Linked DNA regions of Canis lupus familiaris. The protein of the gene in region 2 interacts with the protein of the main gene of each other region in a pairwise test. Links are inferred from orthologs where the notes say so. Each region holds a gene or a part of one and is shown on either strand. Other genes may lie near its edges.

Region 1 (3,351 bases), on a different chromosome or scaffold from region 2:
CCCTTTGAGGTAGAGAAATTATTCTCCCCATTCAAAAATGAGGCTAAGGCACAGAGAGGTTAGTTCACACAGCCGGGAGGGGGTAAAGCCAGGAATGAAAATGCTGGCAACTCAAGCTCCAGAGTCCATGCTCTTAGCCACCATGCAATAATGCCTCTCAAAAAGAGCACAGGAGGAAGCAGGATTAATTATAGTGACTACTTGATTTTTACTTTAAGAACTGTAAAGTATAAAAGAATAAGTGAAAAAAAGTTTCAAAATGCCAAGATACAGCCCAGATGCTAGCCACATTTGCCTTAGGAATCCAAGAGTTACATGTTTGTTGAAACTAAAAGTATAAAATTGAGTGCATTATAGTCAGGTGTTACTGGCCCCAAGCTGGGTGATCTATGGGTGTGTTAATCTTATCTACCCGTCTAGACCCTTTCCTTTGCTGTGCTATAGGGCCAAGAGCACCAGACTCACAGGCTTAGGAGAAGCACAAGAGCACATATAAAGAGCCTAAGACTTGCTCAAAGAATGGAAGCTTTATGTTAAATTTCCTGGTGACTAATAATACTCAAAAAATTTTACAAGTATCTATCCATATCCATTTTATGCTATGTAAAATTCTACTCTAATATTTAAATGGATCAACCATGACTGACAAACTTCTTAAAAGGCAAATAACATTTAAGGGAATAGTATAAAAACCTCTGGTTAATTTCAAAAGAAGTAGGCAGGAATATACTGGTGTTTTTGGCCCTTTTGTAGCCTTACTGGAAAAGACAGTAAAATATTCAGAAACAAAGCTAACCTACAATAAATAGAAAATCAAATGCCAAACTAAATTTATTTGGCTAAAGAAAAGTGAACTGTAAGAAAAATAAGTGCAGTCTAGATTTTGCACATAGAGGGAAAAGACCCTGAGATTACCAATTGTGTATCGCGATCCTTATATAGATACTGAAAACAACGGTATTAGTAAAACTCAGACTGGATTAATTTACAGTTTAAACTTGATCTAAATATTACCCTTGAATTTTGGCTATACTTATACTGAAGGGACAAATTCTGACAAAACTAAAGAAGCTAAATGTTGACAAAATAGTTAAAAGCTTCTAACAGTTTCATGTAGAGGGTTTCTAGTTTACTAAGTCCAACTTTTTAATAAAGTAAGGGTAACAGGTCATTAAAATCTCAAAGATCCATTAAATTTCTAGTAATAAAGACAAAATGAAACAAATTTACTGAAAATAGCCATTTTCCCTTTGCCCTCCTGTTTTACATTTTTTTTAACCACAAAAAGTAGACAAGATTAACTGGATAGTACAACTGACTTTTTAAGAAGAATATTAAAATTATATCTTTAAACCTGTTGAAGAATTATAATTCAAAGTAAGCTTGGCCATTGGAGCATTATAAATCTGTGATGTTCTCACCACTGAAACCATGTGACTAATTTCTCATTAAAAAAACACTAAGAAATGGCACTAAAAAAAAAAATGTATTTTTCCTTGACACCTTCTGCAGATTTTGGTTAATACACTGAGACTCCAAACATGTAAAAAAAATTTACCGTATATTATAAAAGAGCAAAATCATGTGGTAGCTATAAAAATATAATGCATAAAGAAACACAGCTTCTCCCAAAAAAGAGGTTAAGAATTTAGAAGATATTGGAAGTGCTGCATTTGAGGTCCATTCAATTTTACCCACTTATTTTAGGGTCATTAAAGCAACAGGGCAATGAGCTTAGGTATAATTTAATTAGGAATACTGAAAGCCAGATTTACTTGCTGCGTTTACCTTCATGCTGGACACCATGATTACAAATCCCACAATCACAGAAATGAAAACACATTTTTTCCTGATTGATGTTTTACTATGCAGGAAAACAAAACAAAAACCAAACAAGGAATATATTCCATTTCAGTCTTCATGGTTCAAGTAAAAAAAGTTCTCATAACTCAGGTACACACTTTGTCCAACCCAAGTTTTAGCTTTATCATATTTTAAAAATTCATGTATAAAAAATAAGTATCAGTTCAAAATATAGATTATTTTAAGAGACTGCAGAAAATATAAAAATAATTAAGTTTGGTGGAAATGTTAAAACTGCCTGAAATTCAGAAGATGTATCATATGAAACATTATTGTTAGGTACAACTGCACTCAGGGCTATCTTGTTTTATTATTTATGTTTAGACCAGAAGTACTCAACATGGATCTCTTAATTTACGTTACTAAGAGGGGCCCTTAAAGTGCTCCATTTCCTCTGCCTGGCACTCCCCAAAACTCTCCTGGTCCCACTGCCCCCATCCTTCAAAGCAGCATAATGGGCAGCCATTCTAGAATTTTAGAGCTTTTTTTGGAAATTATTCCTTTAAGGGATTAAAAATCTTTAAGAATTACTGGTTCAGATATACATGCCTCAGAACAGTCTAGATTGTTTCAAAATATGAAATCAAACTGTATTTAAACTTTTATATTTAATTTAGACCTTAAATTTATCATTAAAATCCAGTATTTTGATGAAAGTAGGAAAATAGAATAATTCAGTATCACCTGTTTGTCTCAAATACAAGTACAGTGAGTAATAATGGGAATGACAACATAACAGAAATAGCACTTGTATATATTTGCCCAAATTGAATTAACTCTCTAAATTCAAGGTGTATGGCAGGTTGAATATTTGATCTTAGTGACTTACACTACTAGTTTGCTTAAACACTGAAGGAGGCATTTTTCTCTAGTCTTTTTATGTATGCATATGCTCATCTATAAATAGTTTTCCCTTCATGTTTAGTATCTAATCACTAAATATGTATATCTCAAATTAGTCTATGTGACCCTGTGTTCTTCTCTTCAGAAGCATCACTAATACATTTGGCCAATAGTTTGAAACATGAACTGTAATTAACATAGCATATAATCTTGACAATCTGAAAAGAGTCCCAAATACTTTTTTGAAATGTTAACATTAAAAAAAAACAAAACTACAATTGTCAGCTCTATTTCCTGAAAATTCAGTTGAGGTAACCTCTGCAAGTCACAGCTCCACACTTGCACACAGTTCTGACCCTCTTTTTGGCTGGGCTGTGGTCAACAGAATCTGAAGATATATCTCCAGAACCTGATCACATAGAAAAAGAAATACAGAAGAGTTAAGACAATTCAGAAGGAAGTTCAAATTTTCTATCAGTTTTAAGTAAATGTGAATATTCAGAGACAAATCATTATGAATTATCTTTTGAAAGGATGGTGTGAGCTAGTAAGAGATAAACACATATGCTATTAGCCCATATTAATAAGACTAGCTTGGAAATGATGGAACTTACTGGGAAAAATCCAATACATAATCACTCAATT
Region 2 (4,124 bases):
ACCAGAAATAATATGTGTATGCACAGACTAGTCTTCGACACACCATGCAGTACTAAAAAGGATGAAATGAATAGATGTGTCTAAGGGCGGTCAACTGCTATTCAGTTCTTCTTGGGTCATTGAGTTCAATTACAAAAGCTTTTGTGTTCACTTAATGAATCATGTGCAGGTTGCTGCAGCAACCCTCATAACTACTCTTCATAAAACTAGAAGAAACAAACAATAGATGGTTTCTTAGGATCTTTTCCTTTCAGTGAAACATTTTAGGTCCCCAATGATAGAAGGGTCAGGTGCCAGGTAGCTGGGCCAACTTGAACAAAATAGGCAGACTGCCTGGGTTCCAATCCTGGCTCTGCCACTGTCTGGTGTATAATCTTGGGCTGGCTATTCAACTTCTCTGCTTCTTGGTAATTTTAATAGGAGACCTACTTCAAAAGATTGATGGGAATATTAGGTGAGCTAATACAGGTAAAGGATTTAGAATAATGCCTGGTACATAAAATGCATGTGTGATATAGGTGTTTGCTGTTGTTTTTATTCTGTACACATAAAAGGAATTAGATCTGCTTTTCTCCACTTCCTAATCTATGAGTCTCCTCAGCAATAAGGCCGCTTTAGGCACACCCCCCATATAAGACTGCTAAATAAACACGTTCTGATGATTATCAAAGAACTTCTTGAAAGTTAGCTTCCTCTGAACAACCTATGAAAAATCCTAGTAGAGTGACACCAAGTCCCAACAGCAGTAACAAATTCCCTACATTAAGAGGAACATTATACAGGAATGGCAATGCCACTAAACTTCCTCTTCCACTTATGAGCTCAAAGTTATAAATCATGCAATATGATAGAATTTTAAGCTTTTAAAGCTCCTTATAAATCACCTGTTCCACATCCCTCATTCTGTAAATGAGAAAACTGAGTCAGCCACAGAATGAGAATAAGCGACTTGCCCCAATGACATGGTAGGTTGACATGAGCAAGAATTAGGATGCAGTTTTCCTGACTTGTTTGCCAGTCCTCTGCTTCCTCCCAGCTGAGAAAACCCTGCAAACCACTCAGAAAAATGGTACATATGCACTTATATGAGAGTCAGAAATGCAGAATGTGACCTATCAGCGAGGGCAGCATAGAAGAATCAGTGTTTTCTCTCTGACCTGGCTCGGCCAACACCACGATCAGTTAGGAAAGCAATATATCTGCACTTTTGGACTGTAAAGCAAACGGAAATCCTCGTTCAAAATGTTATCGTTAGAAGTTCTACATTATTATCTTCATATCTCACATAATGTGTGAGGTACAGACAAAAATACTTCTCCAAAGGGCTTCGGTCCCATTAAAATGCCACAAGTTTAGAGCCTTCAAAGAGGTCTTTAAAAAGTCGATCAGACCAGCGGATGCCAATTAGAAAAAGAAAAAAAAAAAAAGCCACAGCTTGCTCAAGTTTCTTACTTGCCTACCTAAGATCACAAAGAAATGGGCACAAGGCAACGAAGCACACAGTGCTCTGACACTTATTCTGAACCAGCAAGATGCAAAGTGAGTGTAGGTAAGTCCATCAAAAAATCATCCTAGGTGCACCTGGGTGGCTCAGCTGGTTAAGAGTCTGCCTTTGGCTCAGGTCATGATCTTGGTGTCCTGGGATCCAGACCCCTCCCGCTCCCTGCCCGGCGGGAGTCAGCTTCTCCCTCTGCCACTCCTCCTACTCTGCTCTTCTCTCCAGGTCGAACACATACATAAAATCTTAAAGAAAATAAAATACATTCCTCCCGGGAGTGCAATTTGCTAAGAAAAAGGAACCGAATAGAGATGGAAAACAGGTTAATCTCATTTGAATTTCTGAAGAGTTGAGACATCGCGGGCTAAAAAGACTTATGAATAACCCAGGGATACAGAACCAGGAGAGCTGATAGGAAGCCAAAGCCGGGGAAATGCTAATGGCGAACAGAAGTTCCCTGAAGAGAAGGGCATTGAATTATGAACTAATGTCATTCAGCACTCATCCGCTACATTTACACGGCAGCTCTCATCTGCAGAGCTCGAAGGGACTTAACTTTGGTCTCGCTAGTGAAATCCCTCCGTGCGACAGCGGGGCAGGTGCTGTCATATTCTCTTGACAAAACAGGAAAAGCGTGCGGAAGGGTCCCGCTGGGAAAGAGCTGGGCTCTCTGCCTCCCATCTTGGCCCTAAACCCACTAGGACCCATCGCATCAGTAGCAGCAGTAATAATACTAACGATGACAACTTCCATACAGGACGGTGCCCGCCAACAACTTTACTGGCATCCTGACAACTCCATGAGGCGGGTACAATTATTGTCCCCGGGTTACCGATGACAAAACTGCGGCACACAAAGGTCATTTGTCCGAGGCACTCAGCGGAGCGGTGGAGCCGGAGTTTAGGCCGGGCAGCGTCAGTGTCGGCTGACTCCGAAGGGGGTCACGGCACAAAGACTCGGGCGGCGGAGGGCTTTCTCGGGTTCTCTAGCCCCGCCTGAGGGGTGCCCCCTCCCGGCCCCCGGGCGGCCCCCTGCGTGCTCCCGGCCTCCACCCCCGGGCTCGAGGGGCCGCCCCGGCCTCCAGTCCCCGCCGGGCGAGAGCACCGGGGCGGCGGGAGGTACCTGGGGGCTGTCCTGCAACGCCTCCTCCAGCAGGAGCTTGTCCACGGCGGGCATGGCGGCGCGGGGCCGGACAGAAGGACGGAGTGCGGGACGCGCGGCCGCCAAGGGTGCTCCGGAATGAAGCTACGAGGCAGACGCTCCGTGCCTGCCGCGGCCCCGCGCGCGCCCACGCCTGGCCAGAGGCCGCCTCCCGCGCCCCGGCCCGCCCCCGGCCCGCCCCCGGCCCGCCCCCTCCCCGCCCCCGGCCCGCCCCCTCCCCCGCCCAGCCCTCCGCGGAGCCGGATCAACAGGAAGTGTGGCGAGCGCGCGGCCGCGCCGCCGGAAGTGTGGCGGCCTCGCTTCCGCCGCGCCGCACCGCGCCTCGCGGGACCCGGCCGAGCCTAGCGCCGGCCTCGCGGTTCAGGGGTCGCGGGAGGTGTCAAGGTGTTCAGCGACGTAGTCGGGTGCGTGGCGCTGGTCGCGGCTTATTAAAGCCCCAAACGGGGAACTCGAGGGCGGAACGATAAGGTTTTATCTACTTGGCACCTACTCGGGAGACTTTCGATTGGAAGGACTTAGGGGCGAACAGGTGTTTGCCGCTGTGACCCTCGCCACTTCCTGAACGGGAGGGAAGAGCCGGCACTTGCCACACCACCTTTTCTAGATAAATCCCAGTGCCCCGTGACCTCTCGCAGCGCAGAGGTCACCTAATTGTAGAGGAGGAAAAATAAAAAAGGATAGTTGAATCACCTGCGTGCGCCGTTCTTCCGATGTAGGCATTGTGGAAACCAGAGCTCTAGGATTGGAGCGGTAGAATCGGACCTCGTCCTCAGGGTTGGCTGTGTTTTCTCATTTGGAAAATTGATCAAGCTGCTGTTTAGAGCTGGAAGGCATCCATCATCTAGTTCAGTTGTTCTCATTTAGAGGTAAGAAAACGGCCCCCAGAGTGAGGGACTTGGTCAGGGTCACACAAGGAAAGGTGGAGGAAGAGGAGGGAGGAGGGGGGAGCCCTGGGGGAGTACCTGCAAATGGACCGTGAGGTCTTCTTATATCAAAGGCAGGGGTTCAGAAGCCCCTTCCTTAGGAATCCGTAAGATTCATCCAGTAGAGGGGCGTCTGGGAGGCTCAGGGGTTGGGCGTCTTCCTTTGGCTCAAGGTCCTGGGATGGAGTCCCTCATCGGGCTTTCCTGCGGAGAACCTGCTTCTCCCTCTGCCTGTATCTCTGCCTCTCTCTATGTCTCTCATGAATAAATAAAATCTTAAAAAAAAAAATTTTATCCAGTAGAACACATTAGCAGAATCAACAGGCAGGATAGGATAACATTAGATGCTATAGAAACACCGAGGTGTTTAAGGTACAGGCTGAGTTCCAAACACCTCTGAAATTCTGATGGCAGGCTGCCTGGTCACTTGGAGACTCCAGGGCCATTATTCCCAGTTGGCTGTAGCCAGCACCAGCCTTTCCTGAGCCATCGTATGGCCTCCATAGGAAAATCATCCAGCATCCTTTTCCCTACTATATTCT
Region 3 (3,988 bases), on a different chromosome or scaffold from region 2:
ATGGTATTGTTTTAGTAAGGCAGGTAAAAGTGGAGCATGTTTGTAGGCGGTGACAAGAAAGCAAGGCAGGGGAAGAAAGGGAGAACTGGTGAGGAGGGCCCTCCAGAGCTCAGGTGTGTGAGGAGTCAGGCACAGAGGAGGAACACACTCGCTTTGGCTGAGAAAAAAGGAACAAGGAAAAGTGGAAGGAAACTCGGGGAACACCTCATCTTCCTCCTTCCTGTGAAATGTGAGCCAAGAACACCCGGCAAAGAGGGTGGGACTCCAGGTGAGAAACTATAAGCATCTGTCAGAATGGGAGGGCTGGCAAATGGGTGCATGGACACCCCAGACAGGGCTGCGGGCCTGTCAGCCTCACTGCTACCGGAGCTAGACCCCTCCCTGTCCTCTGGCTGTCTCTGAGAGAGCGCTTTTAACCAAAGTGGTGTTTGCGTCTTGCAGAGCTGTGTTTTCCGCTCAGACCCAGTGTGAAAGGTGTTACTCACTGAGTCACCAGCACTACCTGCTATCACTTCCTGTCACTTCTCTTTCCCAGGCAGGTAGCAACAGGCAGGCCCTGAGGCGGATGAGGTCACGTTTTAAACATGTGCACATACCCAGTTCTTTCTTGAAGGATATCAAAAGGCATTTTAATTTCAGAAATTTAGTAAGTAGGGGTTTCATCCCCATGCCTTTGAATGCGTATGTCGTAAAACATTTCTGTACTGGGCAGAATTGGATTTTTCTTTAAATGGGAGAAACCATTTGATTGGAGGGGGGTGCGCAATAAAAAATAGCATAGCATCGATTTAATTTTGCAAGCCTAACATAGTATTAAAACCTATAAAACACAACTTCTCACAAGGTAAGTCATTAATATTACTGTATCTAAATACCCTGAGAAGTTTTCTGAGTGAAAAACCTACAACAGCCAGTTTCACGTATATCCAAAGTAACAGACACCTGGAAAACGCTGACAATTCAACATTAATTTATTAATTCGCTATTACTATTAGTGTAGGCAGGTTATGAGAGGGGTTCAGATAGGTAGCAGCAGTGACAGGGCCTCAGCCCCGTCCTGGGCATCCACATCTCCGTCTGCCGGCCCTCCCGGTCTGACATGTGTCCTGTTTCTCAGGAGGAACTAAAACCATCTAAATAACGTTTTAGTTGGTATGCCTGCAAGAACAGTATCAGGACCTGTCACCTTCTGCTTTGTTTCAAGATGTGACTGCCGCTGGTATTTTTATTTATGGACTGACCAACGTTCTACTAAGCAGCGCTTCCATTCCTATTTTTTAAAATTAATTAATTAACTAATTAATTAATTAATGATAGAGAGAGAGAGAGGCAGAGACACAGGAGGAAGAAGCAGGCTCCATGCCGAGAGCCTGGTGGGACTCGATCTCGGGACTCCAGGATCGCGCCCTGGGCCAAAGGCAGGCGCCAAACCGCTGATCCACCCGGGGATCCCCTCCATTCCTATTTTTATTTTGAAGTTTCCCCTTCACCAATCAAAAGGTGACTTTCCCAAAACACATCAATCCCCACTGCACGCTTCCAAGTCCTTCCAGGGACGATGGAAAGGAAACTGCGGGCCTGGGAAATGCACTGAGAATGGCGATGCCTCCCCACTCCCAGGAACACACCTTTTTTTTTTTTTTTTTTTTTTTTTTAATTTGGAAGGGCTTCCGGGACACCTTCAGAGACAGACTCAATAAACTTAAATCTCTTACCCTATCGTCGGGTTGATGTTTGGATCAAAACTGTCTTCCACGAACCGCCACACGATGCTCGATTTACCTACGCCCGTATCCTGGAAAAGAAGGAGGCGGGTAAACACAAATAAGTTCACCTGCTTGCAGACGGAGAACACCGCTTCGGGGCCTTGGGCTCGCTCGGCATCTCGCAGACATCAATTCGGGCGCGGGTCTTCAGGACGTCAAGGGGCGCAGGGTGTTTGTAAACATTCAGTGGGAGGGAGGGGGTTTCGAGATGTACTTAACTGTAGGACGGGGAGGGTGGGGGCGGGGAATGTCTTGCAGTTTTTACCGGGACACCAGAACCTTTTGAGAAGCCCAAAGTTTGTGCTCGGCGTGATAAAGCCACAAACTCACTTTCTGACACGTGGAGGTAGACTATGAACTCCTGAAATTACTCGAGCGATCCCTGATAGGGTCACAGCCCCGCCCTACTTGGGAAGGGGTGTTGGTGCTGGTGCTGCTGGTGCTGGACTAGTTACTGGGATCCCTTTCGGCCTCTAAAGCAGCCACTCAGGCAAAAGAGCCCCAACTCCACAGGGCGTGACCTGAGGGCGCCAAGATGCTCCGTCGAGGCAGGAAGCTGAAGCTTCCAACTCGTTTTTTTTTTTTTTGGGGGGGGGGGGCTTCCTGATTTGAACGTGCCCCTCCCCCCGCCCCCCCCCCCCCGAGAAAGTAACTCAGTGAGAAGCGTCCCCGAGCGTGTCCCACAAACTCCGAACAGACGAGAAAAGGAGACGAACTCTGCTTGCAAAAGCCGCACGAGGAAGACCGGCGGCGGGGCCGCACTTCGGGGCGACTCGGCCAACGTGCACCGAGCCCGCCGGCGGGAAGCCGTCGGGGGCCTCGCCGTCCGCGGGTCGGGTCCCCCCCGCAGGGCCGGGACGAGGTGGCAGGACCGCCCCGCGGGCCGCGGCGGGGGAGGGGGCGCAGGGGACGAGGGCGCGCCTGGGGCCCCGGCCTGCCCGGCCTGCCCGGCCTCCCGCGGCCCTCCCGGCCGGCCCGCCGCCACTCACCCCCAGCAGGCACACTTTGAGCTCCCTCAGCGCCATGGCCCGGGAGCCAGGGGCGCGGGCCCGCCGCCGCCCTAAGTTGAGGAGGGAGAGGCCGGGCCCAGCACGAGCATCCCCCGGCGCCGCCGCCGCACGGCTCGGCCCCGGCCGCGGGGCGCGCAGAGGCGGCGGCTGCCCGCTCGCCAGCCCTCGGCCCGGCCCGTCCGTCGCCAGCCGCGCGCGCGAGGGGCCCGCCTCAGCAGCCGGGACGCTGCCTCGGCCTCCCGGGCGCCGCCGCCGCCGCCGCCATCTTGGGACGCTGGCCGGGTCACCTGACCTCCCCGCCCACCTCGGCAGCCACCTTCGCCGCGAGGCTCGCGGGGCGGGGCCTGCCCGAGGGGGCGGGGCGAGGGCCGGAGGCCCCGCCCCTCGCCCGCCGGCCCCGCCCCCCGCGCGGACCCCGCCTCCTGGCCCATCCCAAGATGGCGGGGGAGTGGGGTTGGCTCCCCGGGCGCAGGGGCGGGAGAGCGGGGAGGGGCCTGCCCGGGGGGCGGGGCTGGGAGCCCGAGGCCCCGCCCCCTCGCCCCACGGGCCCCGCCCCCCGCGCGGACCCCGCCTCCTGGCCCATCCCAAGATGGCGGGTGAGTGGGGTTGGCTCCCGGGGCGCAGGGGCGGGGGAGCGGGGAGGGGGGGTCGGAGGGGGCGGGGGCCCCCCGTCGAGGCCGCGGCCCCCTCCTTGTGTGTAACTCCTGTGTGTTTCTCGGTTTTCAGAGATCCCCCTGTACTTTGTGGACTTGCACGATGACTTAGACGATTGTAAGTAGCAGTTGGGGGGCCCCCGCCCCTCCCCGGGAACCTCTCACGGGGCTCGGGGTGCGCGGAACGCTGCGGGCGGGGGCGGCTGCGGGCCAGGCCCCTCCTGTCGGGACCGAGGAGCGGGACCCCGACCGCCCGGAGGATGCACTTGTGGCGGTGCCTCCTCGCGGGGCGGGGCGGGCCGGGGATGGGGAGCCCTCCCCTCCTCCCCTCCTCCCCTTCTCCGGGAGGATCTGGGTCGTTGGGAAACTTCTGACTTCCGGTCACTTTGTGTCTCTTCCTCGTCGTGCTCCGGCCGCGGCCCCCGGGGGGTCGGGAGGGGCGGGAGGGTCGTCCCGGGGCCTGGTGGTGGCTCCGCGGCCGCCGCGGGGTTGGGGAGACTTCCACCCGGGCTCTCCGCGTTTCCCCAGGGCGTTCCGGGGTCTGGAGGTGCGGGCCCTG
Region 4 (4,263 bases), on a different chromosome or scaffold from region 2:
ACATCCTCCTTTGTTCCCCAAATAAATTCTTTAAATAAACGGCACAGGATTTTCTTAAGCAATCTTTTAAAGATGAAGGGCTCAGGTATGCATGCTGGTACTTGAACTGGTCTTGCAGGGAGCCTCACTGTCTTGAATTTAATGTAGACACCCTGCCTGAGCAATTTATCTTAACTAGAGAAAATAACCATTTTGTTATTACTAGTAATTCTGTTTCAAAAAAATAACTACGTTATTTGACACTACCATTTTGTTATTACTAGTAATTCTGTTTCAAAAAAATAACTACGTTATTTGACACTCTTAATCTATGCACTACAGGAATGAGAAAAAACAAACAATCCTATGTGACGAAAGGGCCATATTATATGTAGCAAATTAACTTTTTATGATCATCCCCATTAATAGCAAAATCCATAGGTCAGTTCCCAAGCAATATAGAAGTGCATGCTTTATATACAGGACACCTACATGTAATGTGATAACACAGTAATTTTTTTTGAGCCATTATGATTTACCAGTTTATTAAAAGGCACCCACACAATTAAAAACCTGCACAATTAAAACAATGCAATCTTTAAGCAGTTAAAAACAATGAATTGTCAAGTCAATGTGGGAGAGCTACTGAGTAATCTGACCTTTCAAGTAATGTATACCAGAAATCCTATTTTCTCCTTTCATCTAAAGTTCATTAAAAAGAAAAGACCCCCAAAACCCCCCCAAACCACCTGCCCTTGGAGAAAGTTAAGATTCTGCACACACAACTTGGGGACACACTCCCCCAACCACAGGATGACGTGGAGCATGCAGGGGTCATTCCAACATGTCCTGGAGCACCGAGGGGTCTACCTCCACAGCCTGGAGGCCTCTGTATAAGCTCCAGAAGGTGGCCTGCTTCCCATAGCGCTGCCTCCAGCGGATGAAGGCCTCCACCATCTGCGACTGCACGTTGTGGGGGTGGTTGGCCTTACAGCGGTAGATATCTGTCTGGGACAGTCCCAGAGCCAGCACCACAGGCTCCCACTCAGGGCCCAGCCTCTGGGCCAGCTGGTTAATCTGCCGGTCCGATGGTGAGCTGTTGAGGATGTGCGGGGGGAAACCAGTCATCCAGTCATCTGGGAAAAAGAAAGATACGAGGGTGAAAAGAGCAAACAAACACATCAGATGGGGGCAGAAATGGAAATTGTGGGGAGAAGAGCACAAAGCTTCATATGGTAGGGCCAACTTTTCCTAGTCTTCTTGGGGGCTGCTCAGTAAAAGGTCACATACAGGAGCTTACAAAATACCATTTAGCATCTTTGGAAATGTTTATTACAGAAAATGTGAAAACAAGAAAATAAAAATAACTGGGAACCCCACAAGAGAAACTTAGTGATAACAATTTGATTTTGTCTTTTATGTATAAAACATATGTTTGGCATTATATGGCACAGCTTTATAACATGCTTTTCTCACTATCATCTCTTTCAACAGAGAGGCCAGGCAGGGGGTTCCAAGAGAATGAAGAATGACAGCCTGGGCCCCAGTTCCCTCTGGCACTGGGGTGGCGCTCTCTCCTGCAGGAATGGCTAGTGCTGGAAGATAATGGGCTAACCAGGACAGCTACTCTCTGCTGATAAACTCGAACATTACCAAGAAATGCTGCAGTCTCTAACAGAAGCAGAACCAAAGAGGCCTGATGAGAAAAAATGAAACTCAGAGGCCATGAGGTAGCAGGATGAGAGTTACCACCCTGGGCCCAGCAAAGGGAGAGACAGCACATGCTGTAGAAGGGCAATGAGGGAACCTGACCTTGCACTTTCTAGATCCCAGTCTCCCCGAGGCCAGTCTGCTGAGGAACCATGACACTGAGTGACTGCCTACAGATGTGCCAGGCATATCCAGTAAGAAGTACCATCAGTTACAATGCAGACAGCCTTCTAGAGGAAGGAGGTTAAAGCTAAACCCTGAATGTGAGAAAGAATCCAATGAATGGAAAGGTAAGGAAGCATGCCCTCAGCAAAGGAAATTGCCTGTGCAAAGGCCTGGAAGCAGAAGATCACAGCAAATTCAAGAAAAGAAAGAAGTTCAGGGATCCCTGGGTGGCTCTGCAGTTTAGCGCCTGCCTTCAGCCCAGGGCGTGATCCTGGAGTCCCCGGATCGAGATCCACATCGGGCTCCCTGCACGGAGCCTGCTTCTCCCTCTGCCTGTGTCTCCGCCTCTCTCTCTCTGTCTGTCTCTCTCTCTCTCTCTTTCTCTCTCTCTCGTGAATAAATAAAATCTTTTTTTTTTTTTTTTTAAAGAAGTTCAGTGTAGCAAAAGTGCAGAGATTGAGAAGGACGCTAAACATTCAAAATTCTGGTGCTGCTTATTGGTTAGGCCAGAACTAGAAGTGAGGTTTTCATACTCCTGGTACAGTCATGTGTACAACAGCACTACACTTGTGCTACATTCTCTGTCACCAGCATCATGGGAATCCGCGTCAATCCCACTTCACACTCAGCAGCTCATTGTTTAGACTTATGAATTCAATAAGAAGGCAAAAAGCACCCGATCGGAATAGCTGTTTTCACTGTACGTGCCTTTTATCCCAAAGCAGTTGCAAATATCTTAGGCACAAGTTTAAAAAATACTGACAAGGGTTCTTTCTGGTGTTTGTCAAGACTGTAATTTTTAAAAAATGATTAGGAAACAACTGAAATAATGATGCTACTACTGACCAATATTTTATATTGACAGTAATGATTTTATGGCTTGTATAAAAATATGGGCACTTTTATGCAGGTTCATTAAAAAATTCAAGCAACATAAAAAAGTACAAAAGAAAAAACAAGTTATCCAATATGTACTTAGAGTCGGTGAATATCATTCTGGACATCTCTTCATGCACGTATTCTGTATTAATTGCTTTTTTTCTCATAAGGGTTATTTAATTTTGTTTGAATATAACAGGAAAAAAAAAAAAGAAACAGATGGGGTACTAAATGGCTTTCTGACCTATAGTTAAATATTCAAACACCACCACCAAAACACACGCACACACACACACGATTTAATGCCAATAAAAAATATATGAAAATTTAAGACATAAACCATGTATTTTCACATTAACACTCTATAATTAACACTTGACATTTCCTCTTCCTTTCCTCGTATCTCATGATTTTTCTTGCCTATATCATTTTTGTTTGTCTGTTTTTTTAGCAAGAAGAGAATGCATGCATGCGAGCAGGGGGCAGGAGGCAGAGAAGGGGAGAGAGAAAGCTTTAGATCAGGATAGGTCTTGGTCATTCTCTATCTGTTTTCAAGATGATCTTCTGACCAAAGACTTAGCTCTTCCTCTCTTTCAGAAAAATTTTCCTGGGTTGTATTTCTGCATTCTTTTTCTGTTCCAGATGCTGGATGCCTTTCCCCATCACCATGACTATCATTTTCTGCTTTATTACTTTACTCCTTTCCTGTGATCATCTCATGCCTTTTTCTATTCATTTGATGGTTATGCTTATGCTGTTTTTTTTTTTTTTTCCTGGTCAAATCTCATATTATAAGGGTTTTGTTTCCCTCAAATTCTTTTCTTGGCTCTTCAATCTTTTTTTTTAAGATTTATTCATTTATTTTTTTAGAGAGAGCAGGAGGGGCAGCGGGAGACGGAGAGAATCCCAAGCTGACTCCCTCTGAGCACAGAGCCCAATGTGGCTTGATCTCACAACCTTGAGATCATGACCTGAACCAAAATCAATAGTCAGATGCTTACCAACTGGGCCACGCTGGCACCCCTCTTCAGTCTATCTTTTAAAACTCCCATTCCAACTCAGATCTATTAGGATGGCTACTGTCAAAAAACTCCAGAAAATAACAGGTGTTGGTGAGGATATAAAATGGCATGGCTGCTACAGAAGAGTATGGTGACTCCTCAAACAACTAAAAATGGAATTATCATATGACCTAGCAATTCTACTTCTGGGCCATATACCCAAAAGGATTGAAGCAGTGATTCAAAGAGATATTTCTATACCCATCTTCATAGCAGCACTATTTCCAGTAGCCAAAAAGTGGAAGCAACCCAGGTGTCTATCAAGGGATGGAAGAGAAACAAAATGTGGTATACTATACATTAGAATATTATTCAGTCTTATACAAACCTGTGATCATAAAGACAGTATGGTACTGGCACAAAAAGAGACACATAGATCAATGGAACAGAATAGAGAACCCAGAAACGGACCCTCAACTCTATGGTCAACTAATATTCAACAAAGCAGGAAAGAATATCCTACTGGAAA
Region 5 (3,971 bases), on a different chromosome or scaffold from region 2:
GATGTCAGCCAATTGTCAGGCCCTGAAGAGTACTGAGCTGGGACTCCTAACTGCCATGGTCCCCAGAGGCAGAGGAGATGGGGATCCAGGATGATGGCAGGACAGAGTGGGGGTGGGGAAGTAAATGGAAGCAGAGGGGCATCAAGGATGAGGGATGCTTAAGGGTCTCTGCACTGGGGCCTCTGCTTGCTCACTTTGCATGCTCATTCCTTAAACAGACCCAAGAAGGGACCACTCTTAGGGAAGATGAGGCACATCAAATCCCAAATCCCAAACCTCAACTCCACCACTTTCTAACTGGATGATCTAAGGCTAGCTACTTAAATTCCTTCAGCCTCATCTCTAAAACGGAGATACAAATCCCACTATCTCCCAGGACTCTTGTGAGGAACAGGTGTGAAAATATAATATTGTTTCCTGTGAGAAACATGTGTGAAAAAACTGCAACTTTGGCTGCCCAGGTGGGTCAGTCAGGTTCAGCCTCTGCCTTGGCTCAGGTCGTGATCCCGGGGTCCTGGCATAGAGTCCCACACCAGGCTCTCTGCTCTGAGGGGAGCCTGCTTCTCCCTGTCTCTGCCTCCCCCACCCTGCCCCGCCTCTCATGAATAAATACAATCTTTAAAAGAAAAAAACTGCAACTTTAAAGTGATTTCTAAAAATCAGTTGTTACCACCTCTCTGTTGTATGAAGGCAGGAAAAGGCCAACTAGTTGGAAGAGGCAAGAGAGGAGAGGCTTCTGTCTCACACAGAGCCCTCCCTCTTTCTGCCAAGTAACATCAGAGCTCTGCTTGGACTCTACAATCTCTGGATGCCAGAAGTGGCAGCCTAACTACCTAACTACCGGGGCAATGATGCCTTCCATGTCTCTCTGAAAACAAGAGCTTCTCCTTCAAAAAACCTGTTTTAGAATCCTAGCTGGGAGAGCATGTCCAGACAAAGACGGTCCCCTCAGAAGGCTGGCAGCCTCATCCTGGGACTCCCAAAGAGTTCCAGAAACCACAGCCCACTACCGAGGAGGTAAGTCTGGTCAGAGACCAGTGGCCAGTGAGCAGAGAGGCTTCTCTGGTCTGTCCCTCAGAGGCACAGGCTGACCAGATTAGAGAAACTAAGCTGGCCGCAGAAGTCTCCAACGACTTTCCAAAGAAGACCACACAGATAGAGAGCTTGTGATCCAACCACTGATCCTAATAAGGTAGGCTTTCTTGTTGTCCAATAAAAAATGAAATGAGTACAACCCAGGTCTAGCTCAAAAGTTTGTAGGAGTTGGACCCTGGTGACTGTCCACAAGAAGTCAAAAAGATCCCAAGACAAAAAATGTTTAGCACCTGTAAGGACAGTAAAGATGGCCCGAAACACTGAAGAGCTACTGAAATTCCCAAAGGCTGCATGGCCTCTCCTCCCTCCCTTGGCTGTAGATAGCAAGGGTCAGTCATGGCCTCAAAGAGTCAGGCTACTCTCATTAAGGTATAGTCTCTGGCCTGTACTTTGGCCACATAACAAAACCTGCGAACCTGGTCTGAGACAACAGCCATTTCACACACCTAAGTCCCAAGCAACAGACAAGGATCAGATGTCAGCACAGGCTGCCTCTTGGAAAGGCTGGAGGGGGGGCAGGGGGCGCGGGCGGGGCGGATGTCAGCACTTTCCAGCATACATGAGAATTCCTTGGGCTACAAAAATTAACACATTAAGAACCCAGAGGTGCCACTGTGGTCTCAATTCACTTCTCTGTAATCTATAATCTGTTCAAGCCTCCCGGAAGGGACTGGAGAGAGGCCCTGGGACTAGAAGTGGCAGAGACCTGTTGATCAAGGAGAGGGGTATGTGTGTCTGAGAGTGGGAATGAGATAGGCCAGGACCCTTCACTTCCACAGTCCTTATTTCTGGTCTTTCCCCTATTCCCTAAAGACCAGCAGACAGCAGTCCCAGGAGGAGCAGTCCCTCTGAAGCAGCTTGGAAACCACTCACGTGCTCTGGGAGGACAGGGCTGAGCCTGGAGCAAGGGGGAGGGGGAGAGGAGGGGAGAGAGAAGATAATGAATGGGCAGATCCACCATGATCTGTGATCTGTAGCTAGGATTAAGCAAACCTCAGCTAAATTTTTCAGAGGCAGGAAGAGAGATAGATACACTCAGAGAGCACAACTAGAGAACAACATAACCAGAGGACAGAGTTGGGGTGGAGGGGGCAAGATAAGGAGGCAACAGCTCATTCCTAAAAAGTGGCCTAGACTTTAAATCCTGCTGGGATCCTGGCTGGCTCCCTGGGCTTGAGGAAAGAGAGGAAGTGAGGAGTTGTGGGAGTCTGTGTGTGTGGAAGGCTCTCACCCAGGACCCCTCCGCCCCCACCCCGCCCCAGGAAATCGAGATAAAATTTCTCTAGGGCTGGAGGAGACAACTGTTTTTGTGGGACGGTTGGGGGGGGGGGGTGCGAGGAAAACGGCGACAGACAGCACTCCTCGCCGCCTCTATAGAGAAGGAAGACCGACTCCTTCACACCTAGCAAAGATTCCTCCAGTTCTGGGAGCAGAGAGAGCAGAATCTGTGGTCTCTGCCTCCCACAACTGGACTGGACAGGCCAGAGGAGAACCCTGGCGGCTTCCCAAGGCTCATAAAGGGCAGGTAAGGGAAGGAAAGGAGGGCCCCCCCTTTGGCCCGACGCCTGGGGAGCCCCTGAAGAGGGGGCTACGGGTCGGGGGAGGGGTCAGTATCCCCCTAAGCCGGGGTTGGGCGGGAGGAAGTGTTGCCCCGAACGGCCTCAACGCGAGCGAGACACTAGGCCCCGGGACAGGCACACTCACGGCGTCTCCGGGGCGGCGGCGTTACTTGGGGCCGGGGCTCGGACAGGCTCCGCTCCTCTCCCCCCGGCGGTGTCCCAGGCTCCGGCCTCCACTTCCGCCTTTCAGCCGCTCCGGATCCGGATCTCCACCTCAGACCCGCCCCTCAATACCAGATGACTGACAAGGTGGAGAGACCAATGGGAGGCACTCTTGGCCGACTCACCGGCGACGCCTTTGGGGGGCAAGGGAGAGGCGGGAGAGCGCGCGCGAGGGACGGCGGGACTTGTAGTTCTCAGCGCTGGGAGGAGCCGGTGGCCGCCTGGGACTTAGGCTTAGGGTGGAGCCGGCTGCCGGCGAGGCGGAGCTCGGCCGGGAACTTCTTAAAGCCAGGGCTGCCAACAGCGTCACCCTGGGTTCCAGGAGCCCCGAGGGGAGGCGGGTGGTGGGGCGCTGGAAGAGGGCAGAAGGCTGTGTGTGCAGAATTGGTTAAGGAAAAACATGGTGTGAATGAATGCACAGGAGGCCGCAGTCCTGAACACTGGCTAAACCCGAGAAGCCCCTGTCTGCACTTTCTCAGGCCAAGTCAGCTCCGGGAGCTCGACTATTGGGGACATTCTGCGATGGGGAAGGTGATGGAAGTGCTAATAGGAAGGGTTCTCGAGGTGTGGAGAGCTCCTGCCACTTGTCAGTCATAAACCAGGACCCTCCTCCTTTGGCCGGACACCAAGACTCCAGGATCACCTCTACCTCTGCCTCCCACACCTCCAGCCAGAATCAGCTCATGTCTCTGTTGCCAGAAACAGAGCCGGACCACTTCTGCTTTGACTCTCTCTCCATCCATAAACACAGATTAGAACGACTTCTGTTTGCCTCCCCCACCGTGACCTCCGTATGGATCAGGACTTTCTTTCTTTCTTTCTTTCTTTCTTTCTTTCTTTCTTTCTTTCTTTCTTTCTTTCTTTCTTTCTTTCTTTCTTTCTTTCTTTCTTTCTTTCTTTCTTCTTTCTTTCTTTCTTTCTTTCTTTCTTTCTTTCTTCTTTCTTCTTTCTTTCTTTCTTTCTTTTCTTTCTTTCTTTTTTTCTTTCTTTCTTTTTTTTTTTCTTTCCTCAATGTGGATTAGGACCACTTCTTGTCTCCGCCCACCCCCATCCCCCAACACAGACCGGTATCTCCTCTGCCTTTGTGTCCCACTC

The links.
Region 1: the proteins of APPL2 (region 2) and SUV39H2 interact in binary tests that used the Homo sapiens proteins (3 or more experiments, as listed by UniProt). The link is inferred for Canis lupus familiaris from reciprocal best matches to the Homo sapiens genes APPL2 and SUV39H2.
Region 3: the proteins of APPL2 (region 2) and RAB22A interact in binary tests that used the Homo sapiens proteins (3 or more experiments, as listed by UniProt). The two-hybrid records come from large-scale screens. The link is inferred for Canis lupus familiaris from reciprocal best matches to the Homo sapiens genes APPL2 and RAB22A.
Region 4: the proteins of APPL2 (region 2) and CRADD interact in binary tests that used the Homo sapiens proteins (3 or more experiments, as listed by UniProt). The two-hybrid records come from large-scale screens. The link is inferred for Canis lupus familiaris from reciprocal best matches to the Homo sapiens genes APPL2 and CRADD.
Region 5: the proteins of APPL2 (region 2) and RAB5C interact in binary tests that used the Homo sapiens proteins (3 or more experiments, as listed by UniProt). The two-hybrid records come from large-scale screens. The link is inferred for Canis lupus familiaris from reciprocal best matches to the Homo sapiens genes APPL2 and RAB5C.

The regions. Positions count from the first base shown.
Region 1 is NC_049223.1:20,689,413-20,692,763, forward strand, and holds the end of SUV39H2 (histone-lysine N-methyltransferase SUV39H2), read right to left. Parts: intron 3,116-3,351; coding exon 3,009-3,115; 3' UTR 508-3,008; downstream 1-507. UniProt on the Homo sapiens protein: Histone methyltransferase that specifically trimethylates 'Lys-9' of histone H3 using monomethylated H3 'Lys-9' as substrate.
Region 2 is NC_049231.1:34,245,005-34,249,128, reverse strand, and holds the start of APPL2 (DCC-interacting protein 13-beta), read right to left. Parts: upstream 2,803-4,124; 5' UTR 2,675-2,802; coding exon 2,621-2,674; intron 1-2,620. UniProt on the Homo sapiens protein: Multifunctional adapter protein that binds to various membrane receptors, nuclear factors and signaling proteins to regulate many processes, such as cell proliferation, immune response, endosomal trafficking and cell metabolism.
Region 3 is NC_049245.1:43,854,594-43,858,581, reverse strand, and holds the start of RAB22A (ras-related protein Rab-22A), read right to left. Parts: upstream 2,812-3,988; 5' UTR 2,792-2,811; coding exon 2,756-2,791; intron 1,796-2,755; coding exon 1,716-1,795; intron 1-1,715. UniProt on the Homo sapiens protein: Plays a role in endocytosis and intracellular protein transport. Mediates trafficking of TF from early endosomes to recycling endosomes. Required for NGF-mediated endocytosis of NTRK1, and subsequent neurite outgrowth.
Region 4 is NC_049236.1:34,343,220-34,347,482, reverse strand, and holds the end of CRADD (death domain-containing protein CRADD), read right to left. Parts: intron 1,116-4,263; coding exon 814-1,115; 3' UTR 508-813; downstream 1-507. UniProt on the Homo sapiens protein: Adapter protein that associates with PIDD1 and the caspase CASP2 to form the PIDDosome, a complex that activates CASP2 and triggers apoptosis.
Region 5 is NC_049230.1:20,627,595-20,631,565, reverse strand, and holds the start of RAB5C (ras-related protein Rab-5C), read right to left. Parts: upstream 2,813-3,971; 5' UTR 2,800-2,812; intron 1-2,799. UniProt on the Homo sapiens protein: The small GTPases Rab are key regulators of intracellular membrane trafficking, from the formation of transport vesicles to their fusion with membranes.